Linked DNA regions of Drosophila melanogaster. The protein of the gene in region 2 interacts with the protein of the main gene of each other region in a pairwise test. Each region holds a gene or a part of one and is shown on either strand. Other genes may lie near its edges.

The links. The genes of interacting proteins can lie anywhere in the genome.
Region 1: the proteins of metro (region 2) and veli interact in a two-hybrid assay, tested with the Drosophila melanogaster proteins (2 studies listed by BioGRID).

Annotation. Positions count from the first base shown.
Region 1 is NT_033777.3:25,063,918-25,067,203, forward strand, and holds veli (veli), read right to left. Parts: upstream 1,675-3,286; 5' UTR 1,598-1,674; coding exon 1,561-1,597; intron 1,498-1,560; coding exon 944-1,497; intron 880-943; coding exon 730-879; 3' UTR 501-729; downstream 1-500. Other genes in the region: stac (staccato), read left to right, coding at 18-199, 261-352; PQBP1 (Poly-glutamine tract binding protein 1), read left to right, coding at 1,961-2,024, 2,085-2,716; Stt3B (catalytic subunit 3B of the oligosaccharyltransferase complex), read right to left, coding at 3,090-3,161, 3,216-3,286.
Region 2 is NT_033778.4:11,224,782-11,235,281, reverse strand, and holds metro (menage a trois), read left to right. Parts: upstream 1-2,765; 5' UTR 2,766-3,128; intron 3,129-5,233; 5' UTR 5,234-5,299; coding exon 5,300-5,342; intron 5,343-5,405; coding exon 5,406-5,683; intron 5,684-5,739; coding exon 5,740-5,871; intron 5,872-6,248; coding exon 6,249-6,278; intron 6,279-6,605; coding exon 6,606-6,773; intron 6,774-6,844; coding exon 6,845-7,166; intron 7,167-7,325; coding exon 7,326-7,619; intron 7,620-7,738; coding exon 7,739-8,259; 3' UTR 8,260-8,824; downstream 8,825-10,500. Other genes in the region: CG13228 (uncharacterized protein), read right to left, coding at 872-1,279; CG13218 (uncharacterized protein), read left to right, coding at 1,578-2,018; CG7737 (uncharacterized protein), read right to left, coding at 9,166-10,500.

The DNA of each region.
Region 1 (3,286 bases), on a different chromosome or scaffold from region 2:
ATACCTTCATTCGGCAGAAACTTGAGTGACCACCAGCGAAGTGAAAAGAATAGTCTTATTGTATTTAGCATCAAAGATAAAGATTTATTCGGCATGTCGAGCCAGTATATAGCAGAGAGCTATATATCTTTCGCAGATCTGGAAGCGACACCACCGGGCGAGCAAATAATGATGAATCTATCCAGACCAGAGTATACAGGTACCTAATCATACTTTTGGCAGATTAAAACTGGAAACTTATACATGTTATGTGCTTTCAGATTCCGAATCACTGCGTGCCTTGGAATACAGACTAGGTGATAAGCAGGCCAAGGATTTCCTTAAAAAGCTGAAGAACCGATCCTTCTCCTAAATTGTGAAAAGTTATACGTTGTAAAGAAAAGCAATAAAACTGTATTTTTATATTTTCTACGGCAATCGTACTAAAATTTACAAAGTTGCGTTTTGAAATGGGCCCCATTTATGGACTGAAACTTATGAAGAAAAGATTTGCATTGTCTGACAGTTTTAATTACATTTATTGGAACAAAAACCAACGCGGTAATTAGTTACAAATACATAACACTCACTTTTTACGATTAAAGAGTAATTTTCCAGAGTTTCTTTGTAATAAATAATATATAAATGGTATTTGTGTTAAATTATATTATTCGTAAAGGGCTTGATACGTGCATATCAGCATGGTCTAATGGCAAAAACTACTATGGCACAAGTTTTTGCCGATGTGCCTTATTGGCGACGACGTGTGTTGCGTTGCTTATCAAATCGCATTTCCATTTCCTCGAGAACCTTTGGTGTGTAGCGTACCACCAGCTTTACAGATCCGACAGCTTGCTTTAATAGCTCTACGGCCTTCTCGTGGTTTTCTCCTTCGACAGACTGAAATATTGATATTTTGCAAGTTCTTAAGGAGTTAAGGTACATAACTGAATTAATGACTTACCACACCATTCACAGACAAAAGTTGATCTCCCCTTTTCAGACCACCATGCCTGTCAGCCACGCCTCCAGGTATTATTCGGGATATATAGATGGGCGAGTTTTGCTCCTTGCCCCCCATTACATTGAAACCCAAGCCTGAAAAACAAAAATTAAAGATTGATAAAGCTTTCCATATAAGATGTATAATAGAAACATATATTCTCGGTCTATAGACCTTTACAATCAAGGTATTGGTTTTATGATATAGGGGAATCCCCTCGATTCTTAGCTCATAGGGGCGTGTCTTACCCTCCTCCGTTTTCGGGAGCTCGACGACTCTGGGATGAGCGTGCCCCTCGCTGGCTGCGAAGGCTGCCACAGTGGCCTTGGCAGTGGCGGATGCCCTCACGTCGTGGGAGCCCTGGATGTCCACCGTCTCGTAGACGTGCTCGTACACCTCCCGCACGGAGGTCATGAAGTCCGAGTTGAGCACCTTCTGCAGGGCGGCCAGTTTTGTCGTGGGGAAGTCGCCACTCGCTTGCAGCTTTTCCAAGAGCTCTATCGATCTTTTGACATCTGAAAGTTAGAGCATTGGGTGTGAGTTTCCTCCAACTGGGAATGGTTAGCATGCACCCTTACCTCTGGACAAAGTCAGTGGTTCTGCGTTATCGGCCATATTGCTGTTCAATTTAATAATAATCAGTCAAATTGAGCTGACCTGAAATATTATTCGAGCAGCTGAAAATAATATGACCATACGTCTCAGGGGCACAAAATACCATTCCGTGAAATTATATTCTCTATTTGAAATAATTTGGTTTAATAAAATAGTAACAAAAGTTATATTTTTTATATTTAACAATATATCATATACTTATAATCTAATCTCAGTACTTTTCGTTTAAAAAATTATCTTTTGAAACAAACAAGTTTCTTGAAAGTGTGGTATTTTATGCACGTACATCCATGGTCATATTATTTTATATTGATATTATTTCCGCACCGTATTTATTTAAACTAACAATAGAATAATAGCAAAATGAGCCTGCCAGCTGCACTATTGCAGCGCCTGAAGAAGCGCGGACTTGTGACCAAACAGTCGGGTAAATACAAAGACCAGTATAGAATCCAAAAAGAGGATAACCAACTTCAGCTTTCCACAGGAGCAGCACCGATTTCAGAAGCTATAGAAGAGATTATAGCCGAGAACTACGATGACGATGACAAGAGCGGCCCTTACCCGTACAAGGAGGACACATCGCCGGAGCCCAAGCGCAGGAGCGTCGAGGAGAAGTTCTGGTCGCACCGCATCAAGGAGCGGATCGGCGTGAACGAGTCCTACCATGGCTACAAGCTGTGTCCCAACAAATACAACATATACCACAAGTGCTCGCTGTACTGCGTAAACAAGTTCAACAGCTCGCCGCTTTCGCAGCCCAGCCATAGGTATCTCAAGCGCTACAAGAGATTGCTGCGGAAGTATCCACTGGAGGCGGGCTGGAAGGATGTCTACGATAAGGGCTGCAAGGCGTTTTACTTCTATAACTCGACCACACAGACTGTTTCGTGGCTACCTCCTTCGCATCCCAAAGCACGGATCACCAACAGCGCCGCAGTGTTTCGCAGACAACTGGCCAACTCCAACGATGAGTTCAACTTCGATACCAACATGGTTCAGCCCAAGTCTTCTAACCAAAATGAACCCGACGAGCCCGACGTATTCGTTCCCGCCAAGAAGCAAAAGTCCAGGGACCTGGAACGAAAAATCCAACGACGTCGCCGTAATGATAACTAGCACTACTAACTAGCCATTTGACTTATGAGCTGTAGATCGCTACTGTTCAAATAAAAATGAATAACTATGATAGATATTAAGGTTTAAAAATGTACACTCTGCTTTATTGAATTGCTAGCTTAAGACAATGAATGGTGGAGCCGCGAACAGATTTAAATCGAAGGAACCGGAAATTTTACGAAAGCAGCAACTCGATAAAATTGTGTCGCACGAGTCGGGAAGTATGTGAAAGTTGAATTTGAGGCGGCGATTAAAGCCCTCAACATGAGGATGCGGTGGACACACTTTCACCAAACTATGTGCTATGTGTAAAGTGTTTTAACCAAGTTATATATATTGGTGAAAGATCAATACAATTATTTTTTTTTTGGGTTTATTTCAAGGTTCGTTTTCCCTTAACAACAACCGGTCGGTTTCGTATGTAGCCCTTGCGACGCTTAGAGTTCTGCAAAGAATCAGATTGTTAATGAAGTTCATTGGGAGCTGCAGGGTACACTACCTTTCTCGAAATGAAGTTTGCTGGAGGAATCGTTCTCTCCTTGGTCTTCAGTGATGGTCTATTGAACTCAT
Region 2 (10,500 bases):
CGTATTCCTTCTCCAACTTCGTCAAATACTAAAACTCATCGCCCAGCTGGGCTTTAATTTATAGCCAAACATTTGCCAAGAACACCCAGCACCTGGTGTCATAAACAAAGGCAGTTCATTGGCATTTCTTGATTGCCATTGAGTGTCTTTTTTTACATTTTTCGTCTAATTTCAATCGCAGTCAGGCAAAGACGCCGAGAATAATCGTCGGTTTGAAAAACCCAAAAAATCGCTTATACAAATACATAAGGTTGACCCAATCTTAATGGGTATATAAAATGAATTATGATGCGGAAGTGTGAGGCAACCGTGGAACGCAAACTAGATCTCTTTGGATTGTAACTCGATGTGCAACTGATTGAGATCATAATGGGTAGATAATTAACTGTGAATGATGCAAGGTTACTATAATAATAATCAGAGTAAAATATATTCTTAAGATCCATATTTGAAGTACCAAGTAACCAGATACCATTTGAGACGAACATTCTTGACATGACAAGACAAATCAACAAAAGTCGATAAAGACTACAATTAGCAATCCGATAACCCACAATTGGATACCGCTCTTCAGGCCAGCCAACTTGACCCACTGTAATCGCTTGATGGCTTGTTGTTTACCACTTAAAAAGCCCATCCGCCTCGCCTCGCGCGATATTCGACATACATATGTACATATATATATGGAAGCAAATAGCAGCGAGAGACTCTTCCAGAAATAACAGCCAGTTAACTACGGAATATGCAAGCTCATCGACTTTGTCGATTCCAAACACTCGGCAAAATGAAACTCGATCTTGCAGTACTTTTTTGTTTATCCATTGTTTACACTAGAGGGTCTCAAGAAACGCTCAGATTTATTCGGAAACGTCTAGCCAAAGAAACCGCCTTTGAATTTGGCAAAACCCACAGCGCCGCCAACGAATCCGCCGCCTCCGATGCCACCTAGTCCGCCCAATCCTCCTCCAACGGGATAGCCACCGCCATATCCGTAGCCATAGCTGGGTATCGTCTGTATGACGGGAACAGTGGTGATGATGGGCACAGTGGACACAACGGGAACTGTTTGGATAGCGGGGGCTGCCACTATGGGGGCAGCAACTCCTCCGCCTCCGATGATGCCGCCGCCCACGATACCGCCTCCAACGACTCCGCCACCTCCAAATCCACCAATGTGACGGGGTCTTCTAATGTTCTCCTCGTCGACGCTGGAGAGGATCGGTGTGGTGCTGACCACGGCGCACGCCAAGACGAGCAGGTAGACAGTTTGCCACAACATGATGGGGTTAACTGTTTGGTCTGCCCCACTCCCAGCTGCTTATTTATGCAAATTAATTAGTGGCCACTGTTTGCACTTCCAATTTGCATATTGGGGCGCCCGGGTAAAAAACCCATAACTCTAAGGCCCCATCTATGTTTTGGCGGTTCTATTGGGGGAATCATGGTTTTGCCCACTGGTAAGGTGGTTCACACCTCATCATCGTCATCGTTTGTGGTCTGAAGGTCGCCGGCCTGGGCATTAAAAGCCAGGTGATTTAGTTAAGGTAACTCACATCGTTATTGGACACTCAGCCGAGATGAGGTGCGATCTTCAAGTGCATTTTTTGTTATTACTGGCAATTGGCGCTTGGCGGACTGAAGCCCATTCCCTGGGAGGAGGTGGAATCGGAGCGGTTGGAGGAGTGGCAGCCATTGGCGGAGTTGGTGGCATCGGAGGAGTCCAGCAGGTTCCCGTTGTGCAACAAGTGCCCGTTGTCCAACAGGTTCCCGTCGTGCAACAGGTGCCCCTCATCCAACAGCAGCCGCAAGCTCTTGGCCTAGCAGGTGGAGGTGGATTCATTGGTGGCGGAATCGGAGGTGGTGCCGGTTTTGGACGCTACAAGGAAAGCTATCGCGTGCGAGCGAGGGGATTCGGTGGTGGATACCGCGCCCGGTACGACAAAAAATTTGGAGGAGGATTCGCCGGACTTGGTGCTGCTGGAGGAGCGGGCTTAGCTGGTGGCGGTCTGCTGGGATAAATACAAGCATGCTATGTAGTTTAATAACCAATTATAATAAATTGTATTAGTACCATTAATATGTTTATTTTTAACAATGAGACTTTGTTTATAACTAAAGCAGACGCACTTTCTTAAGGATAAGTATTTACAAGCTAATTAATAACAATCAATTCATATGCCGAATTATGGTAACATAATCCTGAGAACTTGCTCCTGAACACCCTGTATTTCTTCCGCTCTGCATTTCTGCTGACCTGCGCAGATTCCACCCCCAGCAAAAGTCCAATTGGCGCTCTGTGCTCTCCCACTTTATGATTTCCCACTCTCTGGTGGTGCATTTCGTCCCATTCATTTCCGTTGTTCTTCTACTTACTCAATATATCACGAGCACGCTCTAAATTTCTTTTACTCTTGTTTTGACTTGTAAAGAGAGTGGTACAGTGGTTTACATTACAGTACATTTTTTCAAAATACAATAAGTTACAATGGATATGCTTTCGAAAAGAATTTTTTTTGAAATATACATATGTGTTTAAAAATATAGATTATTATTATCATTTTGATTTGTATCTGCAAAATGTTACATTTAAATATTAAATAAAGAAAGCTTGTTTACTAAAATCCACAATACTATAAGTTATCAAAGTTTTCCATAACAAATAGTATGCGGATTTAGTTCTAAGAGTAAGTGTTAAGAGTACCAAGTTTGGCGCTCTTTAAAGAGCTGGACAGATTCGCGAGATGGCAGTTCCCTCGACGTGGAAATGAATTCCTGAAATTAAACGTTGTTCTTTGCCCGTCGTGTGCAGTCGCTCTCGCTCCCGTTATTCGCCGTTCTGGGATTCCCGCTGGCGGACTCTGGTGGCCATCACCTTGATAATCCTTATTGTGAAATATGTGAAGTGCTGCAAAGAGTCTAAGGATATCCTGATATATTAACGGTTAACTAAACTAGTGCGCAATATTAGAGGCCTAAAAATAGCGAAAATAGCAGACATGCCGTGTTTTTGTGCCTCTGTGTGTGCGTGAGTGTCTGCGAGTGAAGTGGAAATTTAAAAATAAAACAACGCTGGGACTCAACCGAAATCCGTCTGTATCGTATTGGCCAACTGCCCAGAAAAACTCCAGGTGATAAGCTCCATTCGAATTATTGTTCGTTTTCTTCTTTTTGGCCAGATTTTGTTGTTAATTGAATGCTCGGGGGAAAACTTTTAACACTCTCTCAGCTGTCAGTCTCTCTCTCTCTCTCTCAGCGATTTCAATGTCTTTATGACTTTCTCTTAAGCCACCGCTATTTTCAGTATGACCAGATTATCTCTTTCGTTCGGACTTAAGGAACACAGTGCAATTACTTGAAGTTTTCAATTACCCTAAATAGAAGGAGAGATTGGGGGGCGTTGAAGTCCTGGCACCTGCCTTATCTACTCGCCATAAGGACTGTCTCTTATGCCGCCCCATGCCACCCACTTTCGCAATTGACGAACCCCGGGCAACGTCATTATTCCGCTTTTCGCCAGACCTCTTGGCCCCTCTCGGCTTTTCTCAGTGTAATTAGTGTGATTGGGGCCAGTCTTGACTCGCTTTCTTGGCTTCTGCTTGCCATTTGGCTGATTGACAGCAGTAATAGTGGCAAATGCAACAAGCCCCCACAGGGAATTGCCTTGAAAGTACGGAAAGCTGTCCAAAATAATACCTTTACCAAGTTAAAAGTTGTACACCTAGCTGTAACATCATTCGTAGAAAGCAAATTCTGAACCAGATTCTACATATGTTGAGAATGGAGACTAGAGAGACTAGCTAACTAGAGATTCCTTGAACAATACAAAATGGTGTGTTTGTATTTTCTCAATTTCTCAAAAATCTGCACAAATTGTAAAACAGCGCTTCCTAAAACAACCCATTTGTTTTTACAAGTAAATTGTAATTGATGTGAGAAGGTAGTGCTTGTACACGATGGTGGTAGTTTAGACAACGGTTGATATCCTGTGGTTTAAACTTACCACCCTCTGGAATAAAATAACCTCAAATGGCGCTGCATCCCTCGGATCCCACGCACTGACGTCGCTGCAACTGAAACCCTGAAAATTGAAATTTTAGCTCGTGCTTCTGCTGGGTGGCTGTGTGTGCCGACGAGTATGTAGTTCAAGGTCGTTGGCCAACTTTCGGAAAGTGTCGGAGGGCCAAGATGTGCGTTTTTCTCATTACCATATAGGGAAACAGAAGCGCGAGAGGCCGTGGCAAGTTGAAGGACACGCGAGTGCCACACTTGAGACGCTATTCTTGGGCTCCAGAGGCGTCCATTCAGTTGACACTAATCACCACCCACGTACCACAAAGCGTGACACTAATGAGCACCGGTCATGCAATAGGGCAGCGTGTTGGTGACCTCTTGGAATGTGGCACCTGGCCAAGACCAGTCCTGCAGCACGGCAACAGGATGCGCAGTCATTGAACAGTTAATGGAGTGCAGATTGCAACAAGGGGCGCCAACATTCCGGGCCACTGGGCAGATGAAAGTGGCCATAAATCCAACGCCTGCTCTAATCATATCGCCCCCTGGCCAGAAGCCAATGGGCGACAACAGCGAACGTCCCACTTGGCCGGGCTTAATGTCAGCTAATTGCATTGGCGTTCCGCTGGCTGGGAGCTCTTTAGACTTGGCGTCGTCAGTGGGGCTCCCCAGCTCCAATGTTTCGGGTTCAACGGGGCGCAAACTGTTGTTATGGTAACCAAACAGTGGGACTCCTTTAAGGTGGTTTCAAGAGATGATGACAATGGTAGAGAACTATATAAATCTGAGCTTGGTATTCCATTTGGCTTTTAAATGTATTTCTTTCAAATAAGTTTATGGCTAGATACAATCAAACAGTAGTTAAACTAATAATGGTAAAGATACACGACAAATATTTCTTATCTACAATTTTTAAATATCCTATTATATTTCCAACCTAAACAAGTATAACTGTATCTTAATATCCAAAACGAACTTCGTCAACATTTACCAGTGTCTGGTGTCCTTTGGCGAGTGACGCAAAGTAGTCGCTTCTCAGTGGGTGGGGGTGGTTATGGTGTTTATGGTTATTGGGTGGTGGGTGGCAGCCTTGGGCCTGGAATTATCATTCGGCTTTGGCCTGGCCCGCTTGCCCCTCGTTGACATGTTTATGCGCAAATTTACGAAGTCTCTCTCCGGTTGTTGTTAAAGTCTCATATCGATTTTGTTAACACGATTATAGGAACAGCGCCAAAGAATAACTTGTAAAGGATAAGCAAGGACAGTGACTCGTCGACTGTTGTGTGACATGCTAGAAGCAGTTATGGCATCGGACATCAACTGGGATCCTGGTGAGTTGAGTGACGCACCCAGTCAGTCCAAAATGATTGATTAACCTTTCGCTCGCTGTGCAGCTCTTTCCAAGCTGATCAGCACGCTCAAGGAGTCGGAGAATCTATCCAATGACCAGGAAATCGACTTCCTGAAGGCCTTGCTTGAATCCAAGGAACTAAACGCGCTGGTCAATGTCCACACGAAGGTGGCCAAAGTGGGTCGAGATGATCGTCTGGCCCCGGTGCTCTCCACCTCTGCCCAGGTGTTGTACGAAGTCCTGGAGCAGCTGTCCCAGCATTGTCATCTGAACGATGACTGCAAGGAGGCCTTTCACCTGCTGCAGGACTCTCACCTGCAGGTGAGCTGTTTTATTTTGATAGATGAACGTTCTTATTAATAGTTCATTATTTTCAGCACCTTCTGTTCGCCCACGATGCGATTGCCCAGAAGGACTTCTACCCGCACCTGCCGGAGGCGCCTGTCGAAATGGACGAGGACGAGGAGACCATCAAGATTGTGCAGCTCGTCAAGAGCAACGAGCCCCTGGTGAGTGTTCGTCCAGTGGCACCAGCGCTTTCCATTTCCATGCCCATCTCATCGACGTGATCGCTGTATTGTGCTGTCCATCGCTTTCCACCGTCCACTTTCGACTTTCATTTCCGTACCCCGCCCCGACTTTCACCGCCTACCCTTCGCCTTTGCCAACTGCTCCTTTCTGCGCCTCCATTCATACTCGTTCTACTGTTGTTATCGCCTCCATGTCAACTCTTTTCAATGCTAATCAATTTTGTCAACTTTGCCTTTGTTAAAATCGAATGAAATCGAATCAATTTCTCGAATTCGCCCATACCAAACAAATATGCATTCGTTAACAAAAACAAAAAAATGTAAAAATCCAAAAATGTATAAAAAAAAAAACACAGACAGGAGCACAGAGTACGGAGCCAATTGTTGTAAGTAATCGAATGTCCATAGCCGTAAAATGTCCACTGTAAGAAATAAAACAGAAAACCCATTCGCCAAGCACTGAAGACAACAAACAACAGCCAGGAAGCTGTGCACACACCAAGATACATGTCACATAAGATACCATTACCATCCTTTGTTCCCATTCCGTTGTTCTTGTCGCTGTGACGCATCCATTAGATACACTCACATCTAGAACATCGGAAGCCGCACTCCACACAGATACACAATCGCACACACACACACACTCTCTCCACACGCACACATACGCGCCTTGCGTTGGCTTTCTAGTAACACGAATTGCCTACTTTTAGGGCGCCACCATTAAAACGGACGAGGAGTCGGGCAAGATAATCATCGCCAGAATTATGCACGGCGGCGCTGCAGATCGCTCCGGATTGATTCACGTCGGCGACGAGGTCATCGAGGTCAACAACATCAACGTGGAGGGCAAGACGCCGGGCGATGTGCTCACCATACTGGTAAGTATGCTTAGAATTGATCGAGAAACCTCATTCTTGATGTAATTTTCATACCTTTTATAAACAACCAGCAAAACTCGGAGGGCACCATTACCTTTAAGCTGGTTCCCGCGGACAACAAGGGCGCCCAGCGCGAGTCCAAAGTGCGGGTGAGGGCCCACTTTGACTACAATCCGGATGTGGATCCCTACATTCCGTGCAAGGAGGCGGGTCTGGCCTTCCAGCGCGGCGATGTGTTGCACATTGTGGCCCAAGACGATGCCTACTGGTGGCAGGCGCGCAAGGAGCACGAGCGCTCGGCAAGAGCCGGTTTGATTCCCAGCCGGGCGCTGCAGGAGCGCCGTATCCTCCACGACCGTACACAGAAGAACGGCACCGATCTGGACTCGAAGCGTAAGCATATCGCGTTGCCAGCCCATTGCTTCCATAACATTCGCTGTTCATTGTCTTTCCATGACTAAAATTGCTCTAATTTCATTCTTCATCTGTGCCCCCCTCATCTAACACTCGACCCAACTCCAAATGGTCCCATCCATGCATTGCCATCGCCAGCCGGATCATGCGCCTCACTATGCACCACCCCACCTGGCTCCCCGCGTCTGCCTGCGAGTAGCAGCACCTCCTCCTGCCGCCAGCCCAAGACTAAAAAGATCATGTACGATTTGACAGAGAACGACGACTTTGACCGCGAGCAGATCGCCACGTACGAGGAGGTGGCCAAGTTGTATCCACGGCCCGGAGTCTTCAGGCCCATAGTGCTCATCGGAGCACCCGGCGTGGGGCGGAATGAATTGCGCCGCCGGCTGATAGCCCGGGATCCCGAGAAGTTCCGCAGTCCGGTTCCGTGTAAGTTTTCTTAAGTTTGTTTTATTAAGTGAACAAATGAACTAGTGTAGAAATGACCAAGTGAACAAATGGACCTCTTTTCGAACATCTTTAATAGAAAACCTATTCGTTTTTTTCAGACACCACCCGACCAATGCGCACAGGTGAAGTGGCCGGACGAGAGTACATCTTTGTGGCCCGCGAGAAAATGGACGCGGACATCGAGGCGGGAAAGTTTGTGGAGCACGGCGAGTACAAGGGCCATTTGTACGGAACATCGGCGGAGAGTGTCAAGTCGATTGTGAATGCCGGCTGCGTATGTGTGCTGAGTCCGCACTACCAGGCGATCAAGACTCTGCGCACAGCTCAGCTGAAGCCCTTCCTCATCCATGTGAAGCCACCAGAGTTGGACATCCTGAAGGCTACGCGAACGGAGGCGCGTGCCAAATCCACATTCGACGAGGCGAATGCCAGAAGTTTTACGGACGAAGAGTTCGAGGACATGATCAAGTCGGCCGAACGCATAGATTTCCTATACGGACACTTCTTCGACGTAGAGCTGGTCAACGGCGAACTGGTCAATGCTTTCGAGCAGCTGGTCCAGAATGTCCAGCGACTGGAGAACGAACCGGTATGGGCACCATCCATGTGGGTGCAGTAGATCGGTTGCCAAATGTGGACAAGCATTTCATGCAGTTTGTTGATGAACACCAAAGTATTTTTGCCATACGAATTTAGCAATCTGCTAGAGAAACGGAGAAGAGACACTATTTACCCGTAGGCGGTCCTGCTGGGCACTCCCGTCCGGCCTTAGTCCTTTTCACGACATGTACCTTTTTGCGTAACAGTGAAAACAATGTAATGAATACAATAATTATTGACAGAAAGTGAAGGAAATTTGAACTCAACCAGCATCTAACTTACAATTAAATTATATAAACTTGTTGTACAAAATTTATTTGTGTTCAAAGAATGACTTAATTATAAATGTATGTATTACACGTTGTTGAAATCAAAGTACAGAGTTAATCCCCCCGTAAAACCTAAAGCTAATCGTATTGTATCTCAGTTGTATATACACTCACTAACTGAAGCATATTGGATACAATGTGAAGTTCTGTGTGACGACATGTCTCATTTCGAAAACTGATTTCACCAAAAACGTAGTGACAAATTGTTGAAAACAAGTGAGAAACTAATAAAAAAAAAAAACTATTTTAAATGCGATTGAGAGGGAAGCGTTTTTCATTAGCTTAGCAATTGATGATGTATATATTAACTTTATTTAGGTTAGAGAAGACTTAAACACAGCTTTATTGGGCAGCGCACTTGTTGACATATTGACATGCTCACGTACATATAAACTCGTAAATATAATCTGTCACCTATGCTAACCTATGGCAAATGTGTAAATTATTAGCTTAGGCATATGAAGTCTATCCAGGATGTACTGATCAGTTTTCTTGATTGTATCTTGTAGTGCGAAGACAGAATTCTACATCCACACGTATAACTGGGTCAGGTATCGCTGTCGTCTATACATGTTCTACGATATCCTAGCCTACAGCTAGAGTTGCGATTTGGTTCCAGAACGGGACACGCTTATTCCGTAAAACTGGGCCAGTCGTCTGGCCTCCCGCCATCCCGCCTCGACTGCTCCGTGAACCGTGGAGTAGTAGTGCTCGCTGGACGCTTCTCCGGCGAACTGGACAATGGGTCTATCGCAGCGACTCTGCTGCCACGCCTCGTCCTCCGAGTCCTTGTCCTTCTCCGGAGTGGTGGCCACCACGGTCAGGGGATGGGATAACTCCCGTGCACCCGTTCCCAGCTGCTCCGTGTCCATGGATCGATAGGAGTAGGACCCACGAAAATTGTCATTCGTATACCAGGCAGAGGTGCGGAAATTCGCGGGATCTGGGATTTTCCACCTCAGGAATCTTCGGAAGAGGTACATAACGCCAGCCTGGACCTCATCAACGGGAAGGGTTTCCATGTGCCTGCCGCTCTCATTGGTTATCCAGCCCGCCAAGATTCTCGGCTGATAGCTCACCCTGTAGAAGCCAAAGACATCCTCCAACCATGCTCGAGAAGTGCCGCGTATGTCATCCAAATCCTCGTCCCGCCAGAGCATGGTGAAACCCGTCCAATCCTCGGGCCAAAATGCCTCGGGAAACTCCACAAAGATTTTGTTGACCGTTCCAAAGGCCAAACCGTCAATGGCACGTTGTTTCTCTACTGGAAGCTGTGGCTCAAATAGCCGAAGGTGCTGATCCTTGAGAACTCCCAATGAAACCGTGACCACCACATGGTCAGCTATACAGGTCTCTCCATTGCTCATTTGAAGTTCCACGCGTCCGTCGTTCCGATTCCAGTTGATCTTCACAACACGAGTGCCAAGCAGGAGACGCTGCTCCAGAACTCCATGCTCCACATTTAACTCCCTGGAGCGCATGAGAAGCCGTAGAAGCTCCACATAGCCCTTGTCCTTCCAGTTTAGCAGGATATCGCCCTCGCACTCCCAATAGTCCAGGTAACCTCGTCCCGAAACTTGTTCTAGCGTATCCGAGGCCTCGACGGAGTTCTCGAATTTCTGATAGTTGACAAAGAACTCACTGGCCACCTCTGCGTCTATATCGGAGTTTTCCGGACGCCGGAGAGTGTCGTAAAACTTGTTGGTCAGATAGCTGCCCAAGGAACCGCTGCAGTGACGCAGCTCCAGTTGCCGGGTGACCAGTGAATCCCCGACGATGGCTTTCAGGCGACTAGATACCTCTTCCGGTACCACATCTCCGTTGGAGCGGACGCACTCATAGTTTTCGTAGACCGGACCCGTCGACTCCAGCAGCTCCTCATCCTGTTTCCGTGTCAGTTCGTACACAATGTTGTCCCGTTCCCCATGACA